4 linked regions of the Macaca fascicularis genome follow. The protein of the gene in region 4 purifies or fractionates together with the protein of the main gene of each other region. This does not show direct contact. Links are inferred from orthologs where the notes say so. Each region holds a gene or a part of one and is shown on either strand. Other genes may lie near its edges.

Evidence for each region.
Region 1: the proteins of HNRNPA2B1 (region 4) and HNRNPH3 fractionate together in Homo sapiens (co-fractionation; 3 studies listed by BioGRID and IntAct, with this or other methods). This does not show direct contact. The link is inferred for Macaca fascicularis from reciprocal best matches to the Homo sapiens genes HNRNPA2B1 and HNRNPH3.
Region 2: the proteins of HNRNPA2B1 (region 4) and HNRNPH1 purify together in Homo sapiens (affinity purification with mass spectrometry; 5 studies listed by BioGRID and IntAct, with this or other methods). This does not show direct contact. The link is inferred for Macaca fascicularis from reciprocal best matches to the Homo sapiens genes HNRNPA2B1 and HNRNPH1.
Region 3: the proteins of HNRNPA2B1 (region 4) and DHX9 purify together in Homo sapiens (affinity purification with mass spectrometry; 4 studies listed by BioGRID and IntAct, with this or other methods). This does not show direct contact. The link is inferred for Macaca fascicularis from reciprocal best matches to the Homo sapiens genes HNRNPA2B1 and DHX9.

The regions. Positions count from the first base shown.
Region 1 is NC_088383.1:78,231,947-78,239,908, reverse strand, and holds the start of HNRNPH3 (heterogeneous nuclear ribonucleoprotein H3), read left to right. Parts: upstream 1-3,521; 5' UTR 3,522-3,693; exon of another isoform or gene 3,694-4,561; intron 4,562-7,962. Other genes in the region: PBLD (phenazine biosynthesis-like domain-containing protein), read right to left, coding at 2,887-3,013.
Region 2 is NC_088380.1:186,458,239-186,465,657, forward strand, and holds the end of HNRNPH1 (heterogeneous nuclear ribonucleoprotein H), read right to left. Parts: intron 6,700-7,419; coding exon 6,561-6,699; intron 5,613-6,560; coding exon 5,434-5,612; intron 5,350-5,433; coding exon 5,278-5,349; intron 5,222-5,277; coding exon 5,088-5,221; intron 4,936-5,087; coding exon 4,800-4,935; intron 4,394-4,799; coding exon 4,334-4,393; coding exon of another isoform or gene 4,304-4,333; intron 4,242-4,303; coding exon 4,152-4,241; intron 3,516-4,151; coding exon 3,423-3,515; intron 2,967-3,422; coding exon of another isoform or gene 2,917-2,966; intron 2,326-2,916; coding exon 2,207-2,325; 3' UTR 1,531-2,206; downstream 1-1,530. UniProt on the Homo sapiens protein: This protein is a component of the heterogeneous nuclear ribonucleoprotein (hnRNP) complexes which provide the substrate for the processing events that pre-mRNAs undergo before becoming functional, translatable mRNAs in the cytoplasm.
Region 3 is NC_088375.1:40,374,565-40,381,983, forward strand, and holds part of DHX9 (ATP-dependent RNA helicase A), read left to right. Parts: intron 1-1,636; 5' UTR 1,637-1,658; coding exon 1,659-1,769; intron 1,770-2,328; coding exon 2,329-2,469; intron 2,470-7,419. UniProt on the Homo sapiens protein: Multifunctional ATP-dependent nucleic acid helicase that unwinds DNA and RNA in a 3' to 5' direction and that plays important roles in many processes, such as DNA replication, transcriptional activation, post-transcriptional RNA regulation, mRNA translation and RNA-mediated gene silencing.
Region 4 is NC_088377.1:104,102,731-104,110,896, reverse strand, and holds the start of HNRNPA2B1 (heterogeneous nuclear ribonucleoproteins A2/B1), read right to left. Parts: upstream 4,458-8,166; 5' UTR 4,289-4,457; coding exon 4,283-4,288; intron 1,542-4,282; coding exon 1,506-1,541; intron 1,408-1,505; coding exon 1,297-1,407; intron 1,136-1,296; coding exon 989-1,135; intron 695-988; coding exon 484-694; intron 340-483; coding exon 238-339; intron 165-237; coding exon 84-164; intron 1-83. Other genes in the region: CBX3 (chromobox protein homolog 3), read left to right, coding at 6,727-6,750. UniProt on the Homo sapiens protein: Heterogeneous nuclear ribonucleoprotein (hnRNP) that associates with nascent pre-mRNAs, packaging them into hnRNP particles.

The sequences.
Region 1 (7,962 bases), on a different chromosome or scaffold from region 4:
GCTCTGCACGGAATTTTCCTCTCCTCTTCAACCTGATAGTGTAACACATGATCACGTGTTCGTTGTCTTGTTTTCCTCTGGGTCGCATGGGTACTTCTATTTCCTTTTCCTTTTTCATCTTTTCTCTCATTATGGTCTCTAACAAGATCCTCTCCAGGGTCCCTCTGATCTCTGTGCTAACAGGAAAGCACTGGAATGATGGAAAGGAAGACAAAGAAAGTCCCAAAAGCAGCTGGGAGTCCTTGGTTCTAACCATCTCTATGGAAACAATCCCACAGAGATAGGTCTGGAAACAATTCTGTAGGGATCACTGGAGCAGTGGTGAGCCAGTCTCACCAAGCCTTATTTACAGGATACAACTTGCAAATGGGAATAGTTGACAAGATTTTGTTGTTGTTGTTGTTGTTTTAAGAGAAGTAGTAAAGTAGGAAGCCAAATAAAATGTACATTTATGCCTATGTAGCATTTTGTTTTTTGTTTTGAGACGGAGACTCGTTCTGTCACCCAGGCTGGAGTGCAGTGGCACGATCTCGGCTCACTGCAATCTCTGCCCCACCAGGTTCAAGCAATTCTTGTGCCTCAGTCTCCCAAGTAGCTGAGATTATAGGCATGTGCCACCATGCCCAGCTAATTTTTGTAGTTTTAGTAGAGACAGTTTCACTATGTTGGTCAGGTTGGTCTCAAACTCCTGACCTCACGTGATCCACCTGCCTCAGCCTCCCAAAGTGCTGGGATTACAGGCATGAGCCACCACACCCAGCCTATATAGTGTATTTTTTAACTCAAAACTTCCTACTGTAACAATAAAAAGGCAAAGGGAATGTGTAAACCAATTTCAAGTCCTTACTGAGCATGCACATTGGCAAAGAGTGCGTAATCCAAAGAAATTATGGCAAGCAAGCAAGCAAGCAGCAGTTTGGTAGTGAAAAATCATTCATGTCATTAGAATGATTTTCAGATTGTGACCCATAACCACACAAAATATGCGGCAGGAATGCCAAATTCAGTCAGGCAGTAAAACAAATTGAATTCAAGCAAGGAGTGAAGGAGATTACAGAATTCCATCTACCAAATCAGTTTGAAAGACCGAAAGGATAAAAATAGCCATGTAACTTGAACCTAGGAGGACCAAGGGAAGAACTCCATCAGAATTGTGGGAGCTTAGAGTCTTATTAATACAGCAATTATTTTTTTAAAAGGAGGGAGAGGGGTTGGGACTCACAGTGTCAGTGATAATGGGACTATAAAGTTTCAGGCCTGTTCAAAAAGTCTCCAGCCAATAAGCTAGTAACCACAGGTCTCCTGAAATGGTAACTCCAGTGTTAATTAGGTGACATAACCTCAATTTTCCAAAAACGATGTCTGTTTCCTTAAGTTATAGATATTTGTAACCTCACGAAGGTTCATAGTGTTTTAAGACCCTGGCCCTTGGGTAAAACCATATGGGCTCCAATTCTAGCTCTACCACTCAACTGTGTGACCTTGGGCAACTATTTTCACTTCTCTAGGACTTAGGCACTTCATCTATAAAATGAAGATACTTATTTTTCAGGGTTGTAAGAGTACAGTGTGTAGGTTATGCTACACACTATACTCAATTTGCTGACTCTTTACAACCCTGAAAAATAAATATGAGCCATTGTTATCACAGCATCCTTGTTTGGTTTTCCATCTCTTTTAATTGTGATAACACTGTCCTTTCTGCCTTCCACTCAGTACTTTTAGGGAGTGGGCCATTGTGGGTATGTGAGCACCATGTTCTTACTGCCCCACACTCGTCTTAGGCAGGTTTGAGGATGAATTAAAGCCTTAAAATGTCTTACATCCTACACACCGCAGATCTCATGGGAGAAAAAATTATACATCCTCCTACGTTGCTAACACCTCCCACCCTACCTCCAACAGACTTCCCAATGTCTGTACCACAAAGTTCAAAGTCTTTTGGCCAGACATTGAAGACTATCTACAATCTAGCTTCACCCACATTTCTAACATTATGCCATCTTCCTGACGCCTTGCACTGGAACTTGCACTGATTTTTTGTGTGTGTGGGAGGGTGTGGGACGGAGTCTCGCTCGGTCACCAAGGCTGGAGTGCAGTGGTGCGATCTCGGCTCACTACAAGCTCCACCTCCTGGGTCCACTCCATTCTCCTGCCTCAGCCTCCTGAGTAGCTGAGACTACAGGGGCAAGCCACCTACGCTCGGCTTTTTTTTTTTTTTTTTTTTTTTTTAGTAGAGATAGGATTTCACCGTGTTAGCCAGGATGAACTTGCACTGATCTCTTTCCCAGGCTTCCCCTTAACTCTTCGCGCAGAAATTCGGGTTTTTTTTTGTTGTTGTTGTTTTTGACACAAGGTCGCCCAGGCTGGAGCGCACTGGTGCAATCACGACTCACTGCAGCCTCAACCTCCAGGGCACAAACCATCCTCTTGCCCAGCCTCCCGAGTAGCTGGGACTACTCGGGAGTCCCATCTACTCCCGTGCGCTGCCATCACGCCCAGCTAATCTTTGTATTTTTTGTAAAGACAGCGCCTCACTATGTTGCCCAGGCTGGTCTCCAACCCTTAGGCTCAGGCGATCCTCCCGCCTCGGCCTCTCAAAGGCGTGAGCCACCGCGGCCGGCCTTTTTTGGAACTTAAAAAAAAGGCCATAATGTGTCATTAAGAACCTTAGTGGCATGACTGCAAAACCAAAATGTACTTATTAGGTGTCACTTGGAAGCGCAATTTTCAACAACGCAAAACTATAGAAAACAACCCAACGTCGGCCTCCACAGGCTAATCAGTCCCCGAGGCACTGACGGCGGGAGAGATGAAAATGCGAAGGCCAGAGGAGAAAGAGAGGAAGGATTTGCAGAGAGAACGGAAACGTGTACAGGAATTCACCCAAGAAACCCGGGTCCCGCGCGGCGCACCGGGACGAACCGCGCTGGGGGACGGCCAGCAGCTCCGGGCCAGAAGGAGGCGGACACCCAGCCCGAGAGCCGAAATCGGCCTCGGTGGACGTTTTCATCTTCGCGGCCCAGAAACACTTCTATTTTTCATTGCACAATGCAAACATGGTGGACCAGAAAATCCGCCCCGCGTCTGCCGGCCGAACCACGTGGCGCCCTTTCCGCGCCGTCGATGCCGAGCAAGGGCGGGGCCCTCACGGAATTTGTTCACGGTGGGGGCAGATCACTGGAGAACTTCTCCAGACCGCGACAGCACAGTTCCTTCTACACACTGGCAGAACTTTCATTGCCATCGCCCCGAGGCGGCAGAATGGTATGCCCCGAAAACTGGATGGTTCTACCGTAAGCAAGAAAGACTGCACACACGACAGCTCTTTACCTGGACCAGCCTCTGCTCTGTCTATCTCGCCCCCAACAGCTGGGCAGCCCACCACCGCGCAGGCGCGCTTCGTGCTGCCAGCGCCAGGCGAACCTGACTTTCCCGTCTCGCGAGAGTGGGGCCGGCCGCCTTCGCAGTTCTCGCTCCGCCCCCCACTTCTTGCTCGCTCCCTCCCATCCCCCCAAGCCAGTTGCTGTGCTGCGCAGCTCCCTAAGCGGTTGTCACCGCTGGAGACGGTTGAGAGAACCGTTGTGGTGAGCGCTACACGAGGCAAACAACTTCTCCCTTCTCTCGACTGGACCCCGCGAGCAGCAGAGTCGGCGTAACTATCGCCTGACAGGGTATCTGAAGTAAAAGGGGGTAGGTTGGGCTGGTGGTTTCGAGAGCGGAGTCGGGAGAAGGACGAAAGAGGCCGGGAGGGGCTGGGTTGGGGGTTAGTGCGGTGGTCGCCGCTCGGAGGCCGCCGCTTGGAAGCGGCGGGGTTGCGCCTCCCGGACCATCTCCCACTTCAAGGAGGGCAGCCTGCCGATGGGAGGACTTGCTCAGGTGGAACTCAGTGGACGACGCCGAGGCCCGAAGTAGGGGACATCCAGCATTTCCCCCTTTCCCTGCTGGCTTGGCCTCCGCCATTTTGGGTACAGTGGCGCGGCCACCTCGGCTTCCCGCCCTTCCCCGCTCTTTTTACTTTTTGTCTCCCAGCTTCCGAAAACTGATTCAGAAGGCCAGGGGAGGGGGTGGTCAAAGCTCCCTGGAAGGGATGAGGGTGGGTAGTGAAGCGAGCAGGGAAAGACCGGGCAGTTGGGTGGAGGGAGGATCGGGGTTGCCGGGCGCGCTCCCGATGGAAATGGCGCCGGATGGGCCTGGCCTCCCACCGTGGCCTCCCTTCCTCCGCAGTCTCGGCAGGGCTACCTGGGCTGACGGGACTGCGAGTGACTTCTGACGCAGATTCCCAAGATGAGAGAGGCTGGAGCTGGGGGAGGAAAGCCAATGGCGACGAAGGTGCTCAACTCTCAAATCCAGGACAAAGGAGGCAGACGGCCTCCTTTGTAATTCCGCCGCCCGGTGGCGAAGGGTTTTAAGCCAGGCTTGGCTGCTGGGGGGTGGGGGAAGGGGCGTACTCTCCCTAGCTCTCTGGTCTCTAGGGCAGCTAGATAAACGGAAAGTCTCCTGGGAGGAATAAAGGACGCTTAGCCGGCCCTTATATTCCAGATTTGGAACTTCGAAAAGAGTACGTACTGATTTTCCAAAGGGGTTTTTTTTTTTTTTCATGTTTAAACGTTAATAAGGACTTCGGGGGTGATTTTGTAAGCAGAAAAGTGGGTGATTTATCAAATAGGAATGTGAAATGGGCATGTTTCAAGTAGGTCGTCTGGGCCCAGTGAACTGTGATTGTTGCTTTTTGAACTTTGGGGGTGGGGGTGGGTGATGTAGCAATTGTTTTGCGTAGTTTGGCATCTATATTAGACTTTGTTTTTAAGTTTCACTTTTGGGAAACAGTTAAAACAACCCAGTGATGGTAGATGTGTATGTATGGGAATTGAGTTCCTTTCGATATTAAATCTTCCAAGAGTTGTATTTTGTGCAGTTTTTTTTTTCTTGGCATTAAGGCTCTAGAAGTAAAATACTTCAAAATACGGTTATGGCTTATTTTCTTTTGGTGTCTAGGCCTTTTTTTTTTTTTAAATGTAGGAGTATAATACACTGTAATCGTATTTTAAACAAGGGAATAAGCCTATTAAACAGAAAAATTGTAAACCCAGTCACGTGGTGGTGGTGTGATTCGGATGAGGGTCCTGAGAACTGGATCCGTAATTTTCATTGAAGACACAGTGCAAAAGGGACGGGAAAGGCCTGAGAGTAAGAATTTCTGATAATTCATGTAAAACTTTTTAAGAATATTGTTACCTACTTTTCCAGCTCTAAAAACAAAAACTTACTATTGTTGAAGATGTTCAGTGATGCTTTGTCAAGATTGCCAAGGAAAAGTTTACGAAAATCTTACCTTGAAACAGTAGCTTTGAGTGGCCCTTTGAAAAGATAGTCCAGACTGTCCTATAAAGTTATATATGCTGTAACAAATAGCTTTACTAATTGGATTGGACTACACACACACACCTTTTTTCTGTCCTCTTTTTCAGTTGTGCCATTATCTGGAAGTCCATCTTACTGTCTTTTTAAAATAATGTTATCTTTGATTTCGTTGTATTGGTAAACAACTGACTAAATTGCAGTAGATAAAAACATGGTTCATAGTAAACTAACATTTTAGAGACCGTACCTCCTTAAGCTGTTAGGGGCGTGTCTAGTGTTTTTGTTTTTTTAAAGAGCAAGCCCATTGGGAAGGAATGATGTACATTTTCTGTTAAACTTAGATCATCAGCACTTTTTCCAAAAAATAAAATTCATTCTCATTTCTTGACCACTGGGCTGCCATTTAGAAAGTTATTTATTGATGCATAAAGTCGTTTATGCATTACTTCAGAAGATAAGCTGTGCCTCCGTGTTAAGAGGATTCTCTATTTCATTTGTTCTCTAATGGATGTTTTTTCTTTAATGACTTCGGTATATAATTCACATACCATAAACTTCACCAATTTTAAATGTACATTTTAGTGGATTTTAGTACATTGACAGCGTTGTGTGACCGTCACTACAATTTAATTTTATAACATTTTTGTCACTCCAAAAAGATACCAATACCCTTTACTGGTCATTCCCCTTGCTGGCATTCTCCCTCCCGTCAAGCCTCAGACAATCATGAATACAAATAGAGTTACACAATATGTAGTCTTTTGTGACTGGCTTGTTTCACTTGGTGTAATGTTTAAAAAATTATATTTAAAGTTTCATAAAACTGACCAAAGCCATCCTCATATTTTAACTGTGGTATATTTTATTGTTACTAGCACCTAGAATTCTTAAAGCAGAGTAGTGATTAGCCATGACATTGTTGCAAAGAAAGGTTGAGGTGGATTATCCTGAATAATTAGTAAAGTGTTTTAAGTAGTTTCTGACAGCTTTATTAGAGCAGATTGCTTCTTCCTGTGCCCTTAGAGTTTTTCTTGTTTTTGTTTTGTAGGTAGGATTTTTAGTTTTGAAGGGGTTGGTAGAGTGAGGCTCTCATTATTGTATGTGCTTTGCATACAGGGTCACCCTGTAAAATAGATTAAGTGTTCCGAATTTGAATTTGGTTGGGTTTTACGCAATTAAAAGTTGTGTTAACAGTTTAGTGTTTATTATAGATAACATCGATAACACTTTTTTGTTTTCATTGGGTCTTATAATTGGTACAGACCGATCCAAAAATCCAATTGGCTTGCTGGTATTTTTTTCTTGTGAATTGGTAAGATTTATGAGTAAAGTAATTTTTTCTTTTTTTCTTTTTTTTTTTTTTTAAGCATTTGCTCCTTAAATGCAAACTACTAAGATCCTTTCACAACAGATTAAGGTTGAATTTGCAGAGTTCTTAAATTTTTCATGAATCAGTTAGGGTAGATCTGTACCACTTTTTCCGTTATGTGTAAATCACCCTTTATGGGAAACACTTATTTTTTAGGTTTGTGCTATTTAAAAAAAATAAAACGCTAGGCGTTTTCAAAACATCTCTGAACTTTTTTTTTTCAAACTGGGTTGGGGCCTCCTCCTCTCAGAGCTACTCTTCAGTATTAAACTTTTAAAAGCCTTCGCTGGCTTTGGGAAATAAAATTTTTAGCAATTCTCAGTTCTCTTCGAGGTTTGAATTGTTTTCTGTCCTTTAAGGTTCACATATTTCGTGTATGGTATATCTTGTTGGCTTTTGCAGGGCCCCTTAAAATCCAGTAACAGTTGCCATCAGTAAATGCTTAACATGAGGCAGACCAAGCACTTGAAGAGTGCAGTGAGGTATAGATACCACTGCTATAGTTTACAATTGAAGAGGCTCAGAGGTTAAGTGGTTTAGGTAACCAGTGAACGGCAGAATAGGGATTCATACTATTTATTTGTGTGCATATTTTAAATGCATGAATTCTAGGAAAAAAAAACTTTACCCTTTGCAGATGCCACCCCTAAGAGTTGCACCAACAAATAGATGACATGAAATTAAGCATTAGTGAATGCTGTTGATACGAAATATGATCTTCAAAAATAAAGGAATCAAATGAACAAATTGTTTTGTTTACAGGGGAGGAGGTGGTGAGGGAAAGGTTTGAAATACTCAGGTGAGTAGGATTCCTACAGCTGCATAGTGAAATTTGTAAGGTTCTGGTAAGTTTCTGCAGCTGAAGGACTTCTGCATTCGCCTCTTTTGTAAATACTATGTAATTTTAAACGGAAGGATGGTTGCCTCTGGGGAAGGGAACTGGGAACTGAAGTCATTTAGGAGGGGAAGGGGGGCTTCTAGATGTACCTTTTATGCTTTATTAAAAAGTATATTATGTATTTTTTAAAGTTTGTGTTTAAATCTATTTGATTAAAAAGCTGAGTAAACTGGTTTCTATACACTGTCCAGTGGCTTCAAAAACACAGGTACTGTTGGAAGGCATTCACTTTTGAGCAGCCTTTGACCTCAGTTTTAATCTAATTCAGTCATTTTATAATCTTACTCTTGGTGAGTTTAAACTAGATTTGGCTAAAATAGAGGTGAGAGTG
Region 2 (7,419 bases), on a different chromosome or scaffold from region 4:
CATCTACTGAAGGAACTCTGGGACCAGACTTTTCAGGACTGCTTTTCTAATACCCAACCTTGTATTATTAATGTGAATAGACTCTCCCTTAGATACCTAACCTTGTTTTAATATGAATAGACTCTCCCTTAGCTGAGAAAGCCGGACGGACTCCATTTGGCTCCTTCATTTACAAGACATCAAGGGCTCCTCACCCACCCGCTTCCTCAAGGACTTAACTTGTGCAAGCTCTCGGCATATCAGAGTGCAATTAACCAATAAGGTGCTGAGGCAAGCAGTTCCCAGCAATTTACTCGGAGATGGTACCATAAAGCCCCATTTGTCCCATAGGTAACGCCAGAGCCCCCACGCCTATCACCTTGTGATGAATTTAAAGCCCCTGCACCTGGAACTGTTTTCCTGTAACCGTTTGTCTTTTCAACTTTTTTGTGTTTTTCTTCTGTTAAGATTGCTGCAGCTAGAATCCCCCTCCCCTCTCTAAACAAAGTATTAAAGAAAATCTAGCCCCTTCTTTGGAGAGAATTTCGTGCCTTAGCGGTCTCTCGTTCACCGGCTAACAAAGGACTCCTGAATTCATCTCAAAGTGTGGCGTTTCTAACTCGCTCAGGTACACTTTAAAGCAGCTTGAATACTTCCTAGCATCATGTTGGAGCTCTGAACTACCAAAACGGGGATATATTTAGAGTTCATTTAAACTAGTCACATTAGCTCTCAATCACTATCACTCTACCCAGATTTACATGTAATTCTGCTTCCAAGTAGAATTGATTTTTAGGAATGAGCCAAAAATGTGAAAGTTCAAAACCTCAATTTGAAAAACCATCTGTGAAGGCTGGGAACAGTGGCTCAAGCCTATAATCCCAGTACTTTGGGAGGCTGAGGTGGGCAGATCACATGAGGTCAGGAGTTGGAGATCAGACTGGCCAACATTGTGAAACCCCGTTGTCTACTAAAAATACAAAAAAATTAGCCTGGAGTGGCGGCGGCACCTGTAACCCCAGCTACTTGGGAAGCTGAGGCAGGAGAATGGCTTCAGCCCGCAAGGTGGAGGCTGCAGGTGAGCCAAGATCACGCCACTGCAATCCAGCCTGAGACGGCTAAAACTGCGCCTCAAAAAAAAAAACAAAAACAAAAACCCACCACCCCTGAGCTAGAAGAAACCCACGTATTCATCATAACCTCCCTTGCCTCCAGCACCTTCCCAGCCAAGCATGAAGGCCTCATAGACATGCAGGCCATGCAGTGAGGGCACTGGCACCTCCCCCTTCGCTCTGTGCAAGTGCTTAACAAGTTATAGGCAAGTTCAGATCAGGTCCTGTGCAGCCAAATGACATACAGCCCTTCCACAAGGGCCCCAAAGACGAGTTTACCTTCAGTTGCACTGGAGGGAAGTCTGAAGACATCTACACAACAGCCTCAACTGCCAAGCCTCTCTGCCACAGCCAGAGATGTGGCCCTAGATGTGTACCCAGGTGGGCACAGAGCACCGAGACTCAGTCCACATGACACTGAAGCACAGACAAGACAGAGTGCAGTTTTTAAAAGGAGGATTTATTTGACAAGTTTCACTTAGCGCAATATACCTAAAAGGAAATCACAATACAATGAAAGATTTAAATCAAGGCCTCAGAATTTCATACAAACACCAAGACCAAAATCCTAAAGTACTGGTATTGCGTCTCAAAATTTTCCCATTAACTTAAAAAAAAAAAAAAAAAGAAAAAAAGCTTAAACTTACGTGCCTTACAGGTTATTAAATGAAACTAGAATTAACGAACATGCCAAAATGTTTCACTTTTAATTGTAGACATAGCTCCTATATTGAGTTTTACAAAAAAATAAAAGCATGTCTTTCAACATGCATCCAAACAGTGTTCAATGTAACGTGGCAAAGGGCAACATTTAACATAATTCAACTGCTTTTACCTAAATACGCTTACTGCTTAAGTACATCCTATAACTAACTTGAGAAAAGCTGGAACTTAAGTTTAACAGTTATAGTTTACTCAGCTTCACTTTTACATCCTAGATTGAGTATTGTATTCAAAAATACTGGGCCTTAAGTCTTCATAACAATCCTGATTTCCACTTAGAGTAAGCATAAATCACAAGCTTGTATTGCAGAAACTGTTAAACTGAAGTTTTTTTTTCTTAAAAAAAAAAAAAAAAAAAAGTTGACCAAGAGTCAGTGATCAGGACAGATCAATTACATTCCCCATCCACCACTCATACTGGACATGCTAGACATCCCTCCCATTCCGTTCACGCCCATAGATGCACGGCTTCCACTACTGTAGTAGCTGCTGTTCATTGCTCCTTGGTTACCTGCAAAGAGATCAATTTGACAAGTTAGGAGTAATGTCAGACTACCAGTCAAATAAAATATAGTATTCCAAGAAAAAGTTTAAAAAGTATACGAGTACAAATGGCTGCTGTCCAAGTGGCGAGACGCATGTTTGGGAAAGGGGAATCCCGACTCCAAACAAGCCTCAATTAACCCCTTTTCTCTGCAGTACCAACTTGCCAGACTCTTGTGCTACCATTTTAACGGATTCTTCAGGATCAACATGAAAAATTAAGTTTAAAGGAAAACTAGTGTTTTTCAAAAATTGCAAAATTACTTCGTATTTTTAAAGCTAAACAAGGCATTTTTTAAAAAAATTTACCATAAACATTCACAATGTGTCCCTCGAATGGCATTTGAGAAAAGGGAGCACAGGGGAAGTCTCTTGCTTTTCCTATTCACGGTGGGCAGGAAGTGAGACAACCAAGGTGGACTAAAGGCAACTCACTGTGCCCAAATGGCAGCCTCCATGGAGTTAAGTCAGAGCCATTGACTGCTATAGAAAGTATTATTACAACATATCAGTATTTGCTATTGGGAATTTAAATTATATTTTTTGAGAAAATATTTACCTATGCAATGTTTGATTGAAAATCACTGGAGTTTTCCTGTAAAACTTGGTCTGCAAAAGGATTTTGTAGGGTAAGACTATAATACCAAAATCACCATTCTTTAGACCAATTGAAAAAAAATAAATAAAACCAATCCTAGGTTAACTAATAAATACGGTCCTGAACCCAACCACCATTCTACTATTCCAAATTCTCCCTCCATCTAAAATTGATGTACTGCTAACCAAAAGACAAAAAAGCGAACAACTTTATTTAATGTTTTAATAAATGGAGGCAGATATTTTCTGGCTCGACAGTATTCCAAAGTTGCAATGACTAGTTTTTTATTCACAGAACACTTCCCCCTCCCAATGATTGTTTCTGAAAATTAAGCTAGTAAAAAGTTACATTTGGATTGAAAGCATACATTTAATAACCCAATTTCACCAAAAAGGAGCCTGCACCTTCCCAACTAAAGAAACCTGCCTAAAACTTAATTCTAAGTATATTTAAAAAAACAGGCTTACCATATCCACTCATGCTGCTCTGGCCACCATAGCCGCCTCCGTAACCTCCACTCAGCTGCTGGCTGGCTGGGCCACCGTAACTGGACTGGTTTGCTGTTAAGTTAAGAAAACTTTAGAACCTTGTTCCTTACATAATGTGGTACCTGGTGGTACCGGGATTGTAATTCTATATCTATATTTTCCAGTCTTGATCTTATATTACTATAACCCTCTGCCTCCTTCTGCCTACTGTCTATAACCGGGCTACCCTTCTATCCATCATCTGAGCTACTCAAATATTTATAAACCGAAGTGCTAACGGTATATACATCAGCAGGACTAAAACCCACAAGATTCCCTAAGTAGAGGCATTTTGTGAAGATCTTATGAAACTGCCTGACTAGATTTAGTGGGGTTCCCCCTTAGATATATCAAAGGCACGTCAATACACCTAATTATGCCCACATTTATCTTAATCCTATTTTGCTATTTAAACTTTATACTCAGAAAATTTAAGTAGTTTCACTCCGTAGTCCCCTCCCCCAAGAGTACTTAAATCTAATTTGAATTATCTATCCTAAGGAACTTCATAACAAAGATTTAAGTAAGCCAGATACAAAATTCAAATATCAAGAAACTGCTTTCTTTGCCTAAGTTTGTTATGCTAAACTTATTAAATAGATTAACAACTTATAATTGACTTATACATATATAAACGTTTTGGTTTTTAAAAAAACTAACGATATTTACACAAGCCCATGCCTCCCATCATTTGGCTACCATAAGCACCACCGCTTGCTCCTGCTGTAGAATTCAAGAAGAGTTCTACATATCTGTGTTCTGAAATGAGAGAAAAGGCATACAAGGTTAGCTTAAAAAAAAGACACTAAAGTGATATTTACACAAACCCATGCCTCCTAGCATTTGGCTACCGTAAGCACCACCGCTTGCTCCTGCTGTAGAATTCAAGAAGAGTTCTACATATCTGTGTTCTGAAATGAGAAAAAAAAAGTTTGAAAATGTTTGTTGGTGAAACACAACAGGATAAGCACTTTTATAAAGTTTTTAAACAAGCAGATCTGTGAACTTCAAATACCTTGGCAAAGAAAATTCTAGCTACTTCTCTTAGGTGATCTACTTTAACTCCAATATCTAGCCTTTACATATTCATCTATGTTGTCAATTAAGGATATAAACTTCAAGATGTGCGTATCACAAATCCGTTAGACTAATTTTTAAAACCCAAACCTTCTTCAACCCACTGCCCCCCATCCCCCAAGAATTAATCTATTACTGGAGAGGAAACTTCTCATATATCCTTATTTTTCCATTTCCCTATTGTAAATGTTAGTCACACAATCACCTGTAAAGAGCCCACAAACGCTCAATCACACTTACGCATATTTGCTTTGTCTTTTGACATAGCTGCCACGGCATCTTCATGAGTTGCAAACTCGACATCTGCTTCACCAGTTACTCTGCCATCAGGACCAATTTCAATGTGTACTCTCACAGGATTGAGTGGTGAAAAAAACTACAACACAAGGCATTTCAAAGAATTAAATCAACTTTCTAATGTTACAAAATAAAACTACAATTTCTAACACAGTGCTCACATTTATAGAGTAAGGCTCAGACTTTTACTGCCATACTGAAATAAGACTTGTGAGTTCATCCTACACTTACATTATAAATGTCATTCTCAGTAGCTCTGTAAGGTAATCCACGCATGTGTACACAGTGTCCTGTTGTGCTCTGGAAAGTAGAGCCACCATCCCCATATCTGTGATCAGACATTCCTGAAAAACAGTAATTGAGGTCTAGATGGACAAGAGTGTAAGCATCCTTCAACTGAGAAATTCAATTCTTACCTTACCTCTTCCAAATCTATCTGACCCAAATCCATAGCCATCATTATAGCCATTGTAATCGTCATAGCCTCCATAGCCTGAAAGACAAAGTACAATCCATCAAACAAAACACCTAAACAAAGGAACAGACTACTTGCCAAACCCTGGGAATCCTCACGTACCTCCACCGTAAGCACCGCGCCTCATCCTCTCAAAGCCAGCTCCTCTGCCAATGCTGTTATACCCTCTGCCAGCCCCAGGTCTGTCATAGGGACCTGGCCGCTGCATGGCCATAAGCTTTCGTGGTGGATCATAATGAGTTCTAACTTCAGCTCTACTGCTCTTAAAGATCTCAATATACCTAAAGCATCGTTCATAAGGAAGGGGTAGGGAGGGGAGAGACAACATTAGTTCATTTTATACAGGTATTTAGTTACACAAGAAATACAATCTAGTCATAGCCATGAAACTGACTAATATTTAAAGCCAGATTTCTTATATTTGCATAGGCAATGACCAGAAATTCACTCAATAAATAGTAAGACAATGTAAACTTTACAGAAAAAAAACACTCACTCCTCCTGAGGCAGAGCCCAACCTTAGGGGTAGAGAGGAGTACTGTAAATAAACGTTCTAGGAGGGAAATAATTCCACTCAACTTTCAACATTTCAAGTCTTAAATCCATTGGCAGCATGTATAGCAAGTGGGCTAAAAAGCCAGCCTCCACCAACAGTCTAGCCCACACTACACATTTCCTTTCGCCAATAAATACCCCAGCCTATGCTTTTAGTAAGAATCAGCATAGGTAAGCGCATGCTTCAATGAAAAATAGTCACAAGCAAAGAGAATAAAACCTTTTGTGACAATTTCTTGAAAGCTATGCTTATTAATACTATGCAGAATATTTATATACAGCAAGAAAAAGTTTGTTGCATTTCAACTTTAAAAACAAGATCAGAAAGTATCACATTTTCTTATGGTAATATTAATTTACTCTAGGTGGGTGTTATTACAGCTAAAGCCAGGTTTGCATTAATTTTTTAAAGCCATAGTCTCTCAACTCTATTGATTGGGGTTAATAAGACTCACAAAATTGTCAAGTAGACCAATTAACTAGGGACAAATTTTAAACCTAAAATTTAGTTTGCGTGTAACATGGGACTGACACAAGAAAAGTTTGGAAATCATGGCAAAACATCAATTACCTAGGACTACAAAACATTAATTTCTTCTTTTAAGCAGAGAGAATATGGATTTAATTGTTTACCATAAGAAAAGTGACATATCCAACCAACCATCCATCCCCACCTGTGCCCTATTCTTTCCTTGTGTTTCTTTAGAGCCTTTTCAGCTATTTCCTGTGAAGCAAACTGCACGAAGGCCTCCCCCGTACTCCTCCCCTGGAAGTCCACCGGCAATGTTATCCCATTTGGCACGATTTCCAACCCTTCAACCCAAGGACAAATAACCCCAGTAGGGGGGCAATATTAACATCACAAGCCCAGAAATGATTCTTCTTATAGCTTTAAATAAACCAGAACTTTTAACTTTAGGTGAATGGTATGCTTTCAACAAGTACTCTTTAAATATGCATTGCAATAATATGAAGTTCCATTATTACGAAGTATAACTATTCTTAACACACCCATGGTACAGTATAAATTAAAAAAAAAAAAACTTGCTGAACGCAGGATGCATTAAGAATTCAACAACTTAAGAACACATATCTATGCAACTTAATGTTGAGAATTATACAAGAATTCAATTAAGTTTTAAGCATTAAATAACAGTTTTACTAAATTCAAAACACCTTTTACCTCATTTTATATTTCAATGCTTTAAGTTATTGGAACTTCAAGTCTTTAAAAAGGTATACATTTAAACATTTCATATAAAAACTAAAACATTAAATTATAATTGACAAACATAACAATCTAAACTTTCAACAAAACTGATCTACACAGCACAATCATGCATGCTTATGCTCTAACAGTAGTTATGATTCACTTCTGGAAATTCCGTCTATGAAAAATCCTTTCCGTGGATACATTCCCAAGCTTACAAAAAGGACTTAAAGCACTTTCCTAGAAGATATGAAATTATGTTCATATTTAACGTTGACAGATAGCATTCAATTCTCACCAATTTAGAGTAAAAACAAAACAAG
Region 3 (7,419 bases), on a different chromosome or scaffold from region 4:
TGCCACAGTTGGATGCATTTGATTTTGGACTTTAAAGAGAAACGACGGGCCGGGAGCTGTGGCTAACGCCTGTAATCCCAGCACTTTGGGAGGCTGAGGCGGGCGGATCAAGAGGTTAGGAGATCCAGACAACCCCGGCTAACACGGTGAAACCCCGTGTATACTAAAAATATAAAAAATTAGCTGGTCGTGGTGGCGGGCGCCTGTAGTCCCGGCTACTGGGGAGGCTGAGGCAGGAGAATCGCTTGAACCCTGGAGGCGGAGGTTGCAGTGAGCCGAGATCTCGCCACTACAGTCTGCGACTGAATGAGACTCTGTCTCAAAAAAAGAAAAAAAAAGAGAGAAAAGACTAAACCTTCAATATATATATTTGAGCATCGATAGCATGTAGTTGGTATTGAAAATTATGGGGTTGTATGAGACTAGAGAGACAGGAGTTTGATAGTATAATCCTTCATATTACTCATTCACCATGAGGGCTTGTTGTTTAATTATTCACGAGGTGGAATTTCCAGATAAACATCTTCAGCTTTCCACGGCTTTTTTGTTAATAGAACATTCCCTTCGCCACATGGATGACCAGAGTTAGACTGTGACCACTCAAACGTAACAAATTTATGCCAGGGTACAGTTTGATGCATTAGACGTAGGTGCTAACAAAATGCATCAAACGTGAAACGTGAAGCAGACGGTTTAATGCTGGTAATAGGATTCGTTTCACAGCAAACTAAATTCATAGCACATTTTATTTTCTCTGGTTATAAATGTGGTCTCAGATATCTTCCTTACAGTTTAGACTCAGCATTTAGACTGATAGGCTCCATATCTTCTGGTATTTTATAGACTGAGACAGAGAGGGAGTGCCAAGACTGATTGCTGCATTTCAAGAAAACTTTAGTATCCTCAAATTTTAATAAATAATAAAGCCTAAAGGAGAGATTTGGTATAGAACATTTAAGTTAATAATAGGTCACTGTCTTCAGTACTGAGTGCTTAATGTATTTGAACTTTATTATATTATTAATACATGACCACAACTTTGGAAACAGTGTGCTAATGGTCATAATCAGAATGAGAATAAAACATTGAGTTTATATGCAAATGATAGCTGTTTCTTAATATATAGTTGTTTGAATTTGAATTTAGGCCTCCACTGTGGGTGACTTGGAAGTTACTTAACTTTCTAAGTCTTAGTTTAGGAAGGAAGGAAGTTTAGGAGGGAAGCTTCCTGAAAAGACAATGATAGTACCCACCATATCTGTGTGCCGTTGTTGTGAGGATGAACTGAGTTAAATAATAAGGTGCCCGTTGTAGAATGTAGGGCCTTATATAAAATACTTTGTAACAAAAGATAAAAATCACTCTTAGTCCCCAAAGATAACCATTTTAGGGGGTATTTCTTTCCAGTCTTGCTCATGTGTATGTATTTTTCATGTAGTTCAAATCATACCGTTTTGTATCCTTTTTCTTACAACATGTAAAAGTTTCAATTATGTCATTAAAATTTATATGTGGGAAGTCTTAGCAACATGATAGAATATCCTATGTTTAACCTAGATTCAGTGATCCAGATAATTGGTTCCTCCCAGTTTTTGCTATTATAAATTGTGTTTTTAACTGACTTTTGTTTTCTTAGATCTGAAGAAGACACTTGAATCATGGGTGACGTTAAAAATTTTCTGTATGCCTGGTGTGGCAAAAGGAAGATGACCCCGTCCTATGAAATTAGAGCGGTGGGGAACAAAAACAGGCAGAAATTCATGTGTGAGGTACTAAAGAATACAGTTTGCATTTATGTGATTTATGAGGTTCATTTTGGGGTTAAAAGAATGTTTTCTGTTTGGAGATGTTAATGTGTTGCACATTAGGAAACAACAGTTTATTATTGTGACTTGACTCCTGTTCTAAATCATTTTCAAGTCAGGATTGCTTTTAAAGCAATCTGACAGGTAAATTATTCTAATTAGAGCCTATATCTTCCTCAGCACCAGTAGTCGGGATGGGAAAAGTTGGATCAACTGTTTGCAGTTTTACAAGCACCTTTAGAAAGCAGAGCAATTCTTGATTGCTTCAAATCAAAGTGCTTAAATACAACTGAAGAGCTTGTTCGTGCATATTACAGAATCAGATTGTAATGTGAACCTTCTGTTATATGAGAAAAAAATAGCTGAACCTCTTAACATTGTTTTTGTGTTATCACTATACAACACAATTCAAGCTTTTTCTTTCAGTAGCTCATGAATTCTCTTAGGTGTATTATTTTCAGTGTATTTCTAGAGTATATTTCCTAAAGTTAGCTGTTTTGTTTTTTGTTTCTTTTTTTTTAAGGTTCAGGTGGAAGGCTATAATTACACTGGCATGGGAAATTCCACCAATAAAAAAGATGCACAAAGTAATGCTGCCAGAGACTTTGTTAACTATTTGGTTCGAATAAATGAAATAAAGAGTGAAGAAGTTCCAGCTTTTGGGGTAAGTACCTATGGCCAAGCAGTTGAGATGCGTGTTGTAAAGTTGTACAAAGTCAATATGCGTAAGAGACTCAGGATAATAATTTTTCACTGTTTACGTATATATCGTGTTTCTTAACGAAATTTGGTATCTTGTTTTCTCTCAGGACTGGACAAAATTTCTGAAGATGTGGATTGCATCCTTATTATGTACCTGTCTTAGGGGCTTGAGAAATTCCATTAATCTTTATGTCTTATGGTTTTATTTGTTTCATGTATTCATACACCAGAAATTTCAGAGTCTGTTATGTTCCATTCATTTCCAGTGATAATACTTTAAATAGAAAAATCAGTAATATTTTAGACATGTTTGCTCCCATTGACACTCCCTCCACCCCCCACCCCAGGTAAGCAATGAGTCCTTGCTCTGTCACCCAGGCTAGAATGCAGTGACAACCATAGCTCACTGCAGCCTCAAATTCTTGGGCTCAAGCAATCCTTCATCCTTACCCCTCTTAGTAGCTGGACTACAGGTTCATGCCATCACTTCTGGCAAGTTGTTTGTTTTTTGAGGCAGTCTTGCTCTGTTGCCCAGGCTGGAGTGATCTTGGCTCACTGCAACCTCCACCTTCTGGGTTCAAGCGATTCTCTCCTGCCTCAGCCTCCAAGTAGCTGGGATTACAGGCATGCTCCATGGTGCCCCCCTATTTTTTGTATTTTTAGTAGAGATGGGGTCTCACCATGTTGGCCAGGCTGGTCTTGAACTCCTGACCTCCAGTGATCCATCCACCCGCTTCGGTCTTCCAAAGTGCTGGGATCACAGGCATGAGCCACTGCACCTGGCTGACATATCCTTATATAACAAAATAGTATTTTATGCAATAGAGTATTTTTGTGTTTTTTATATCATGATTATTTTAAGTATGTAAGTATGCAAGAGATACCTCTGTCTAGTAGGTTGTTTTTTGGGGATTTTGTTTTGTTTTTCTGCCTTTTTTGTTTTTGAGGCTGGAGTGCAGTGACTATTCATAGGCTCCGTCAAACTCTTGGCCTCAAGCCATCCTCCCACCTCAGCTCTACCCCAGTAGCTGGGACTGTGCATATGTGCCGCTACACTAGGCTTTACTAGTTTTTGAGAAATAAGCTTTATTTCTTTTTCTTTTATTTTTTTAAGATGGAGTCTCGCTCTGTTACCTAGGGTGGAATGCAGTGGCACAATCTGGGCTCACCGCAACCTCCACCTTCCGTGTTCAAGCAATTATTCTGCCTCAGTCTCCTGAGTAGCTGGGATTAACAGGTGTGAGTCACCACACCCAGCTTATTATTATTATTATTTTTTTTTTTTTTTTTTTTTTTTTTGAGACAAAGTCTTGCTCTTGTTCCCTAAGCTGGAGTGCAGTGGTGGAATCTCGACTCACTGCAATCTCTGCCTCCCGGGTTCAAGCGATTCTCCTGCCTCAGCCTCCCAAGTCGCTGGGATAACAGATACCTGCCAACATGCCCAGCTAATTTTATATTTTTAGTAGAGTCGGGGTTTTACCATTTTGGCCAGGCTGGTCTCAAACTCCTGACCTTGGCCTCCCAAAGTGCTGGGATTATAGGCATGAACCACCACGCCCTTCCTACGCCCAGCTAATTTTTGTATTTTTAGTAGAGATAGATTTTCACCATGCTGGCCAGGCTTGTCTTGAACTCCTGACCTTAAGTAATCCGCCCCCTTCAGCCTCCCAAAGTGCTGGGATTACAGGCGTGAGCCACCACACCCGGCCTGTCTATGCCAGTTTTAACAGGGTCCTGTTACTGAATTTTTGTATACTGACTTGTTATAAAAGAAATCTTTGCCGGGCGTGGTGGCTCAAGCCTGTAATTCCAGCACTTTGGGAGGCCAAGGGCGGATCACGAGGTCAGGAGATCATGACCATCCTGGCTAACACAGTGAAACCCCGTCTCTACTAAAAAAAATACAAAAAACTAGCCGGGCGAGGTGGCGGGCACCTGTAGTCCCAGCTACTCGGGAGACGGAAGCAGGAGAATGGCGTGAACCTGGGACACGGTGCTTGCAGTGAGCCCAGATCGCGCCACTGCACTCCAGCCTGGGCGACAGAGCGAGACTCCGTCTCAAAATAAAAAAGAAAAAGAAATCTTATTTTCTTCCATTCCTTTGCCTAACGATAGACTTACTTTTTGGTAGATTAACTGCTGGATAATTATAATATCTTACAGTCTTTAATTTCATTGGTTTGCCTCTCTGTAAAATGAAGGGATTGGGCAAGATGATCTTGAAAATGCCTTCTGGTTGAGAAAACAGTTTTACATGTTTGAAGTCCTTGAAGTCTCTATTCATTCTTTATCTTTTACGCTCTTCTCTATAGTCTTGTAGATCTGCTGGTGACAAATTCTCTTTATTTTCTTTTCTGAAAATACTGTTATTTTACCTTCTTTAAGAATACTTTCACCGGATATAGAATTCTAGGGTGCCAGACTTTTTCCCCCTTTTAGTATGTAAGTGGGGAAAAAAAAAGTTTTTCTTCTTCTCTCATACCCCAATAATCAACACAGAAGATTTCTGTGACTAAATGAGGGGCAGGGGTGGGAGGCTTTTTCCACACACACCAAGCCAGCAATCAGTTCTGCAGCAGACAGTAGCTGGGTCTCCTCCAGTTCACCTCTGACACTACCTGGAGATAGCGTCAGATCCCACAGGGTGAAGGCTCAGTCCCACAAGACTCCAGTCCCTTCAGACACCACCTGCAAGTCTGGGCCTCTAGAACTTCTGCCTAACTAGCTTCAAGTTATGGTTTTCATGACTGCCTCTTTGGGGTCAGTTAATTTGCTAGTGTGGCTTACAGAACTCAGGAAAACCTGCATTTATAAATTATAAATAAACCAGTTTATTATAAAGGATACTACAAAATACAGTTGAAGAGATACATAGGGCAAGATATGGAGGAGGTGACAGGGAGCTCCCATGCCCTGCCTCGAACACCATTCTTCAGGAACCTCCATGTATTCTGCTATTTGGAAGCCCTCCAAATCCTGTCCTTTGGTTTTTATGGAAACTTCATTATTCAGTATTGATTAAATCGTTTGCCAATGGTGACTTGACCTTCAGCCCTTCTCCCCTCACCGGAGGTTGGTAGGTGGAACTGAAAGTTCTAGCCCTCTAATCTTTTCTTGGTCTTTCCAGTGACCATCCCTCACACCGAAGCTACCTAGGGCCTGCCTGCTGGCAGTCAACTCATTAGCATGCAAAAAGTCTCCACTTAGGAGATTATAAGGATTTAGGAGTTCTATGCCAGGGAAAGGGGATTGAAGACCAAATACCTTTTTTTTTTTTTTTTTTTTTGAGATGGAGTTTCACTCTTGCTGCCCAGGCTGGAGTGCAATGGCATGATTTTGGCTCACCGCCACCTTTGCCTCTGAGTTCAAGCAATTCTCCTACCTCAGGCAGGAGTATCTGGGATTACAGGCATGCGCCACCATGCCCGGCTAATTTTGTATTTTTAATAGTGATGGGGTTTCTCCGTCTTGGTCAGGCTGGTCTCCAACTCCCAATCTCAGGTTATCTGCCTGCCTCAGCCTCCCAGAATGCTGGGATTACAGGCGTGAGCCACTGCGCCTGGCCAGAGACCAGATATGCTTTAAAGATAATATGACATTGTCTACTTCCTGTTTTCTGTAAGAAGTCAGCTAAAATCGAATCATTCTCTCCTATATGTAATGTGGTGGTCTCTGTTTTTAATATCTTTTCCTGTTATTTTTGGTTTTTAGTAGTTTGACTTATGTTGTGACTGGGCATGAGTTTTTTTTGTATGTGCGTGCTTAACTTGTTCAAGGTTTGTTGAGATTCTTGAATCCATAGATATATGTATTCCACCAAATTTGAGAGACTTGGCTATTATTTAAGATATTTTTTGTTTTATTTTTTCTTCTTTCCTCTTGGGGTTTATATTTAAGACTTTTGATATCCCCCACAGCTCCCTGAGGCTCTCTTTCTTTTTTCTTTCGTATCATTTTTTCCACTCTTCTTCAAATTGAATAATTTTTATTGATTATCTTCAGATTCTGTGATTGTTTTTTTTCTGTCCCTTCCATTTTGCTAAGCCCATCCAATGTATTTCAGACACTACCATTTTCACTTTTAAAAATCTCCAGCTTGTTCTTTTTTTATATGTTTTATTTCTCTGGTGGCTTATCTTTTCATTCATTATAAGTGTATGTTTGTAATATAAATATGGATTTCTTTTATGTCATGAAGCTTAATTCTAATAGCTGCCTTAAAATCCTTGCCTACTACTGTTAACATCTAAGTCATCTCAGGGTTAGATTCTATTGATAGGTATATTTTCTTGAGGTTGGATCACATTTTCCTTTTTGTGTATCAAATAATTTTGGACTGTATCCTGGGCATTGGAATATTATGCTGTGGAGACTCTGAATAGTGTTATACTCCTCCAGAGAGCATTGATGTGGTGGTTGTGTTTTCTTCTTAATCAGGCATTTAATTTGATCGAACTCAAACTACAAGTGCTGTCTTTTGGGTGTTAACTCAAATCTCATCTCAGTTTTCTGATTATTTAAATAGGACAGCCATGGAAGAGTCTTTCAGGTCTCCTTTGGAATCTGCCCTGTACATGTGTGGTTTTCAAGGGCTAGCCAGAGATTTCATATACAGAATTTGGGGCTCCTCCTCTCTGGCTGTTTCCTTTCCAGCATTCCCTCACTTTCTAGCAGCTTTGCTTTTCCTGAACTCTTAATTCTGATTCTTCAGGCCAAAAAGATGGTTTCATTGGAGTTTTAGCTGCCTGGGATGGCTTCCCTCAGGCTAAAAGCTACAAATAAGCTGGAAGTAGACCTTTGATACTCCGTGCTTCCCCATTTTAACTTCTCTCAAGAATCTACCTACTATTTTTTGGTTATTTTTTTATTGCCTGCACATAGTTCTGGTGTGTTGTATGTGTGTTTGTATTTT
Region 4 (8,166 bases):
TTTCCTGATTCTACTAATGAAAACCTAATCATATTTAAAATAAAAGCACACTCATCCTTTAAACACATAGAATTTGAACTTACCAGATCCTCCTCTGAAGTTACTTCCTGGTCCTGGTCCGAAATTTCCACCGCCACCACGCGAATCCCCGAAGCCGAAGTTGCCTACAATAAATGCCCCAGTTAGAAGCAAGCCCTTACATGAATAAAAATAAAGAAGAAACAGAATTGAAATTACCTCCTCTTCCACTCCTAGAACTCTGAACTTCTTGCATTTCTTGTCTAGACAAAGCCTTTCTTACTTCTGCATTATGACCATTGATGGTATGGTATTTCTGCACTGCAATGAAAAATTCAAACTCCTTTTAAATTAAATCAACAACATTAAACAACTTTAAAAGTTTACCTTTCAATAAAATTAGATGTTAACATACACAAAATTGAATACATGGTAAGAACAGTACATTTGTGGTTAGACACTTACATACGATTTTATCCACAGGATCATGGTCATCAAAAGTAACAAAGCCAAAGCCTCTTTTCTTTCCAGACTGTCTATCAGTAATTATCTCAATGGTATCAATTTTTCCATATTCCTCAAAGTAATCTCTAAGGTGATGTTCCTCAGTATCTTCTTTAATTCCGCCAACAAACAGCTTCTTCACAGTTACATGAGCCCCTGGTTTTCCAGATTCCTAAAATATTGGTGGGGTAAAAGTCATCCCGACAGAAAAAAACACAAGCATGATTCAAAGTAGCCGACCTTTGTACCATACTTGGCTTGTATCGACCTTAAAACTACCAGATCTACAACAACAGCTTTTAGGGACCTAGCTTTTGACAAATAAGTTAGCTTCAGAAAATGGTCCAAAAACCCAACAGAGCTTTAATAAAATCTTGAGTTAAAACTAAATTCAGAGATACTTTCCGATGTTCAGCAAGGCAGCATTCTTTATGTTAATTGCACAAGACAGTCATGGTTTGCTTACCTCTCTTGCTACAGCACGTTTTGGCTCAACTACTCTCCCATCAATTGAATGAGGTCTTGCAGCCATGGCAGCATCAACCTCAGCCATGGATGAGAAAGTTACAAAACCAAATCCTCTTGATCTTTTGCTTGCAGGATCCCTCATTACCTTTCAAACCAAAGAGGAAACTTTAGCATTTAATCTCATTATAACTTATAAGTAAACAGTCATTATAATAGAATTTACTATGCTGATATAGTTACTTCCTCCATGATTCACTTAAACAGCTACGATACTAACATACAGTAACAATTCAGTAACTTACGTACCACACAGTCTGTAAGCTTTCCCCATTGTTCGTAATAGTTCCTCAAACTTTCTTCTGTGGTTTCAAAGCTTAAGCCACCAATAAAGAGCTTACGGAACTGTTCCTTTTCTCTCTGCAAAGGAAAATACCATTTCAATTTTTATTTACATTTTCCTCTTTGTATGCAGGAAATTAAATTCTTAAATATGAGGTGACCTGCTGGCAGAGTACCTTTTTCCTCTCCAAAGGAACAGTTTCTAAAGTTTTCTGGGGGGGAAAAAAAAAACTTACATCAAATTTAAACCATATGTTAAACTGCATATTAGTTGTGTTACACCAAAAAAATTGCCTCAGCTGATCTACACAAGTTTCAAAGTCATTAATGCTTGATCTAAATTTACTCAACATTAAATTATCTTAAACAAATGTATTATTACTTAATTTAAAAAATTTCTAAGGAGAAATGAACAAATGTAGACCGTGGTTATCAAAAGATTACTAAATCTTTACCAAAAATTTCAACCCTATAACCTAAAAACCCAGATTTCTATTTATAAACATCAGAAAATAACTTTTGGTTCGATGGTTATGACCCAAAGTTTTTATTTCACGATTCAGTAACATTTTCCCTTAACTGCCCCCTCTGGTGGTGATTCTAAGTATATTAGCCAAAAAAAAACTTTTTAAAATACTGTTTCTCCCTATGACTCTGACAAAAATATTTAAAATCATGATATGCATTAGCAATAACCTTAAAAATTACTTAAAACCAGGACAAATTCATTTTTATGACCAGCAGCACTCAAAGCTTAAAAGTTTTAACAGGTTTTTGGTGGACACTGTCTATACAGGATATGACAATACAGAATATGAATTACTCAGCTTAACCTTATGTACAATAAAATACATTCACCTGGCATAATCTCTAAGCTAACTATTACTGAAAGCTGAAGCTTACTGAACTTGATTGGCCATGTGGCAAGCGACACGGCACGAAACAATTTTCTAACTCAATAGGAAAAACCTCAGAGTTGAAATCTTTAATACCTGCAAACAAGCAAATATGTCGTATTATACAACCCTGTATTTTGGGCAGTTAAGAATGTTAAGTAAACCTGTCTTAAAAGGTAACTACGTTAAAAAAAAAAATTAAACGAGAGGAAGTGATATCCAGGACCAACTACTACGAATGCATAATGCACACTAAAAAGTCACAAGTAATTTTGAATGAAGAATTATTTTTTGTTCCTAGCAAGAAGAATTGCTGCTCTCAGCCCAGTTCTACAGAGCTCTCTCCCTCCATTCACATGCTCCCAACTGCTAAAAAAAAACAGTGGTAAATGCCAGTTCGGATTTTTTCCTGTAATTGTTTTCAGGACTGGTAAAAATAAAAAATAAAAAAACATTAACCGAAATGATTAAACTACTTCCTATGAGACACAACGCAGTCTTGAAATGGTTACTTGCCAAAATAGATATTTTCATTTTCTCAATTAGTTTTTTCTTAATTGTCGTCAGCACATAGGTGTCTCTAAACTGAAATTACCGATAATGTACATTTATAACAAGTCTTACAGATCACTAACAAAAAGCAAAAACTCATTACTTACCTCACAATTTTTCCAAACTTACCCGATGTCCACTATCGATTTTAAACAATGTTATTTTATAAACGTGCTTAGGGTCAAAGAAAATAACCAGGTAGACCCCCTTCGCTTGAGACCTTATGCTTATCAATGTAATGTTCAACCAAGATTGCAAACATAAATGAGAAAAGTAACAAAGTTCAAATACAGAGCGGCCCAGGCCCAAAACAATTTTGCACAAAAATACACACGCATTACAGGAAAGAGCCTCTGAAGCCATGTTTTAACCGAAGTACAACTAAGGATAAAATCGTTATTTCGCTTTCCTCGTAATTTCTAACTAATCATCTATAATGGTCCATGGAACTGTCCCGTAAGGATTAAACTTCTCAGGAAAAACATTACTTAAAATACGAGTCGGCTCTACAACTTAAGCGGAATCCTTAAGAACAGTAAAGGCTTCTGACGCGAATATCCCTCCCCCGCCCAGAAAAACCATCCTCGTCCCTGCCCCTCGTGGCCGATGGCTTCCAAAGTGTTTATTTTTGCTGCTGTTCATCTGCCGTTTTAGTGACTGCAGACCCAAATATATCCGTTACTCAAATAAATTTAAAAAACAGGAAAACTACAAAACGGTTTCTTTGTCCTATAGCTCGCATTAAACCCGGCCCGACGCCCTGGGTGGTGGTATCTTCTCTGAAACCGGGCCCGCAAACCCGGAGCACCCCCCCGCCCGCTCTTCGGTGTGGCTTCCGAACGCAATGGCGCCATTTCATCGAGGGGAAGGCTGAGCGCCTTTAATGAGGTGCGCAGGACTCTAAAGATCCAAGCTCACAAAACACTCCAAATCCACCTCGAAACGATATGAAAAGAGCCCGAGAAGAAAGAAAAATAGTTAACCACTTCTATGCCTTGACAGAGAAAGCACACTAAAAGAATAAGAGAATTAAAAGAAAAACGCTGAGAGGAAGGCGAGCCATGAAAATGGCGGCCGCCAAATCCGGTTCCCGGGAGAGAGGGGGAGGGGAAGCTCCGCAGCCTCGCTCACGGGTACCCGCTGCCCGCCGAAACACTCGCCGCGGAGACGCCGTGGCCCCCAAAGCATCGTGCTTTAAAAAGGGAATAAGAATTCCCGCCTCCGCGCCCCACTTTCACTCCAGCGGGGCAGCGTCCGCCATGTGAAAGCTCCCCATCCCCCACCCCCAGTGAAGGGAAATGGCGCCGGGAGGCCGAGGGTGGGGAAGCTTGTTTGTACGCTCAGGCCTCCGGTCAAGACCCCGTTCATAAACCTCAAGCCCCACTGCTACTGAAGCGGTCCGATTTCCTGCCGCTCTCCCACGGAGGCGGCCGGCCGACTTCCACAAGGGGGCCAACGGCCTCGCCATGCCCTTTCCAATAACTCATTGATTTCAAACCCGTTACCTCCATCGCGGACTCAGTCGCTTCAGCCCGATTTCCCGCAGCCGAGCGAGATGAGAGAGATCTCCGCGGACGAACACGAACCGGACTCGTCCTGGCGCTGTAGTGAGAACTGCCTCTCCTCGAGAAACAACACCGCTAGGAGTACCTCCGCACGGGACCCGGCGCTGCTGCTACTGCCGCTAGAGCCGCTGCCGCCGCTTTTCTAGAACCTTCCCCCCCACTAACGCGTCTTCCTCTACGTCAGGCCGTTGCGTAAACGCCCTAACCGCCGCCAATGGCGGGAAGGCTCTACGCCCCTCCTTACGCCAAATGCGTACTCCTCCCCCTCCTGTGGCCAGCGACAGTGCCCGACGTTACTTCCGTAAATGCGCTCAGTGAATTGCGGAAGGCTCGAGTCCCGCGAGTTACTACCTCTCGGAATAGGGTCCCGCCCCCGGCCTTGGCGCAAGGCAGGTGAGAAACGGTCGCGCAGTTTGAAATTAACGCCGACGGGAGGAGCTTAATCCGGAGCCCGGAGTTCCAGCCCTCTCAACCTGGGAGGTGGTCCCTGCAGCTACGCCTTTGATAACCCCCGCCAGAAAAATCGTAGTATAATATGAGCCTTCCCTTTTCGTTTTTCGTGTCCCAACTCGGCGGATTGACTCGGCCCCTTCCGGAAACACCCGAATCAACTTCTAGTCAAATTATCGTTCACGCCACACTGACCTAACCCTGACCCGCGTCTATGCAGCTGACCCCTGGGGTACAGGAGGGGTCTCTGCTGAAAGTGGTCCCAAAGGGGTACTAGTTTTTAAGCTCCCAACTCTCTCTCCCCAAGCGTTTGGAGGATTCCGCACCCTCGCACCGCAGGGGCGAGGAAGTGGGCGGAGTCCGGTTTTGGCGCCAGCACTGAGGCTGCAAAGCAGAAAAGCCACCGCTGAGGAGACTCCGGTTACCGTCCTCGCCCCTCCTCCCCCCTCCCTCCCCTTGGGGACCACCAGGCGCCACGGGGCGAACGGTAAGTGCCGCGGTCTTCGCAGCCGCCCTCCCCCTAGGGCCCCAATTCCCAGCGGGTGCGGCGCGCGGCCCCTCCCCCCCGCCGGGCGCGCGCCCGCTGCCCCGCCCTTCGTGGCCGCCCGGCGTGGGCGGTGCCACCCCTCCCCCCCCCGGCGGCCCCGCGCACAGCTCCCGGCTCCCTCACCCCTCGGATGTGGCTCGAGCTGTAGGCGCGCAAGGCCGGAGACGCTGCAGACCCGCGACCCGGAGCAGCTCAGAGGCGGTGAAGTCGGTGGTTTTCCTTCTCTCTAGCCCTCGCTCGGTGGTGGTGCATCAGATGCTGCACGCGCCCCGGGGGCCCGCTTCTCCGCTCCCCTCCCTTCCTTGCCGGACACCGCGCCGGGAGCTGCGGGAAGGAGTGGAGAGGGTCGGGCGGTGGCCTCGCGGCTGACCTGGCTCGGGGCCGGCGCCGGCAGTTAGTGGGGGGACTGTTCGGTCCTCGAGGGGGTAGGGAGCTGTGGCGACGGTCGCCCTATTTCGAGACAAAGCGCATTTTCCCTCCCCTCCCCCACCAGCGTTCCGGCGGAGGCGCCCCCTCCCCCAGCCGCCACGCGGGGCTGGGTCGAGACTTGGGCCTCCGGGAGGGCGGCGCGTGGTCCCGTGTCCGCGAGGCCTGGCGGCGCGCGGCCGACTGTCCCGAGGTTGCGGCGGCCGTCCCGTTAACGTGGCCGCCGCGGGGGGTAGGCGCGTGCCGTGTGGCGCAGTGCCCTTGAGCCCCCGCGCCGCGGCCTTTGTTTCTCCCTGCGGATGCGCTGACCACGAGGCCCGCGCTCCCGGGTGGGGGCGGGCAGCTGCGCTTAGGCCTCGGGACGCAGAGCTCCAGCGGAGAGGGTCGGAGGCGGAGGGGGAGCGGGTGTGTGCAAAAGGTGATTGCGTCTTCAAAGTGTCACGAAACGGGGTTGAAGCATCGTTAAGTTTTTTCCTTTAGTTAGTTAACTGCTGATTGGAAAAAGAGAGGGTTTCTGAGCAGAAACAAACTTAGGATTGCAGAACAGAGAAGATTCACAGGGGTTTACAGTTGTGAGTTGTTTGGGTAATCGTGCATGGTTTTAAACCGAAAGGATTGTCCTTTAAAAATGGAACATGGACTTGATTACAAATGGGATTTAGATTAGAAAAGATATTTGTCCCCTATGTTAAGCCATGTGAAGCTGCCTTAGGTACCAAGATCCCCAGTAAAGTCTTTCTAGACTCACATGTTTAGAACACGTACTTACGTGCATCATAAGCAATGTAGGTAGGAGCGCAAATCTACTCTGGATTTGTATCAACGTTTGAAATGTGCGCTCCCTACTTGGGGGTTGGAATCCAAACAGAACTTGTATTTAGTTACCTTTTTTGTGTCGTGCAAACTTCTCTTAACTGTCATGCATTTTTCTAGTAATAGTTCTTCAAGTCTGCAATAAAAAATGGCCTCCAATAAAACTACATTGGTAAGTTAATGAAAAGCTAAAGTATGTAAGGATTTAACCCAAGGTTTTTTCCCCCAAAGTATAACTTTGCATCTTTGTGGTTGAGAAATTTACATCGACATATTTCCCAGCTCTCCCAGTATAATTATAGGGGAAAATTAGGAGCAAAACGAATTCATTACATGGAGATACTTGCTGACTTGACTTAATAGCGTCTTAACTAGTTTAATCTTTGAAGGACAGTGCAATGTGGATTTTGCTGAGGATTTTTATCTTCAGATAGAAATACCCACGTTTTTGCAAAATATTACATAAAATAATAAAGCCCTTGTTGGTTGGCATAATTTTCCTTAAATCCCCAGAATTCTGGAGAAGTATTTTCATTAAAGCCAAATTTGAAGAACCAGGTACCTTGTGCACCTAGGTTGGAGCAAGTTAGTGAATCTTTCAAATGGCTTTGGTCACTTTATCTTGTTTTAACTTACTCTGAAATATAGAAGAATCTTGAATACAATTCATTGCGGTGTTTTGTTTTTTTTAAAAAAAATGATCGAAATAGCAAATACGATCCAGAAGGGAGAAAAGGCTAGATTTTTTGTATCTTCTTCAGCTATGTCATGTTACAAGTTTTTTAAAACCTTGGAATATTCACATAAAAATCATGAAATTCAAAGTTACAGTTTTCACAATATTTAACTCTCAACATATTGCATTAATCTTAAGCGCGTAAAGGTGAATGTTAATGTCTCCTAGGTAAAGTAAAGCATTTGTTTTTGGTCTGTATATGTTCTCTCTGGGTTTCACACTAGAAAGGGCACGTTGGTGATTTTTAATTTGTGCCATCATTAGATTCTATGTTAAGTCAGATACCCTGGAAAACAGAATTTGTTTTTGCATGCAATTGATACTCTTTGGGGTCTGTTATTTATTGGTATTTAAATAGTTTATTTTGTGAGGGATCACAGGTTGGCCACTTTAAAACTTTTTTTAACTTTTCATTTTAAAAATTCATTAGTGTTGTGAGATATATGTACTGTTAATTTCACTTAAATAATGGGAAATTTATTTTGACTCAAATCCACATTTGGAAAAAAGTACTGGGTTAAGCCAAACATATACTACAAAAGAAAATGGTGAGCATTTGAAACTAGCTTATGAATGCCATAGTAGTAAATACTGTATGGTATTTTGTCTGCCCCTTTTTTTTTTCTTTTTTTTAACCTTAGTATGTATCCTTTTCATTTTCTATACTTATTTTTTACTTCTTTATTTTGTTAGCCTTCTCCCTTTGTGGCAGTAGCTGTTTTGTTTTTCATGTAGTATAGGTATCTAATACACTTCTGTCTCTTCCAATTTGTTTTTGCTTCTCCCACTATTATTTCTACCTTCTTGTACTGTACAATGACAGAAATCTGTTTGGGCCCAGTACTCAAGTAT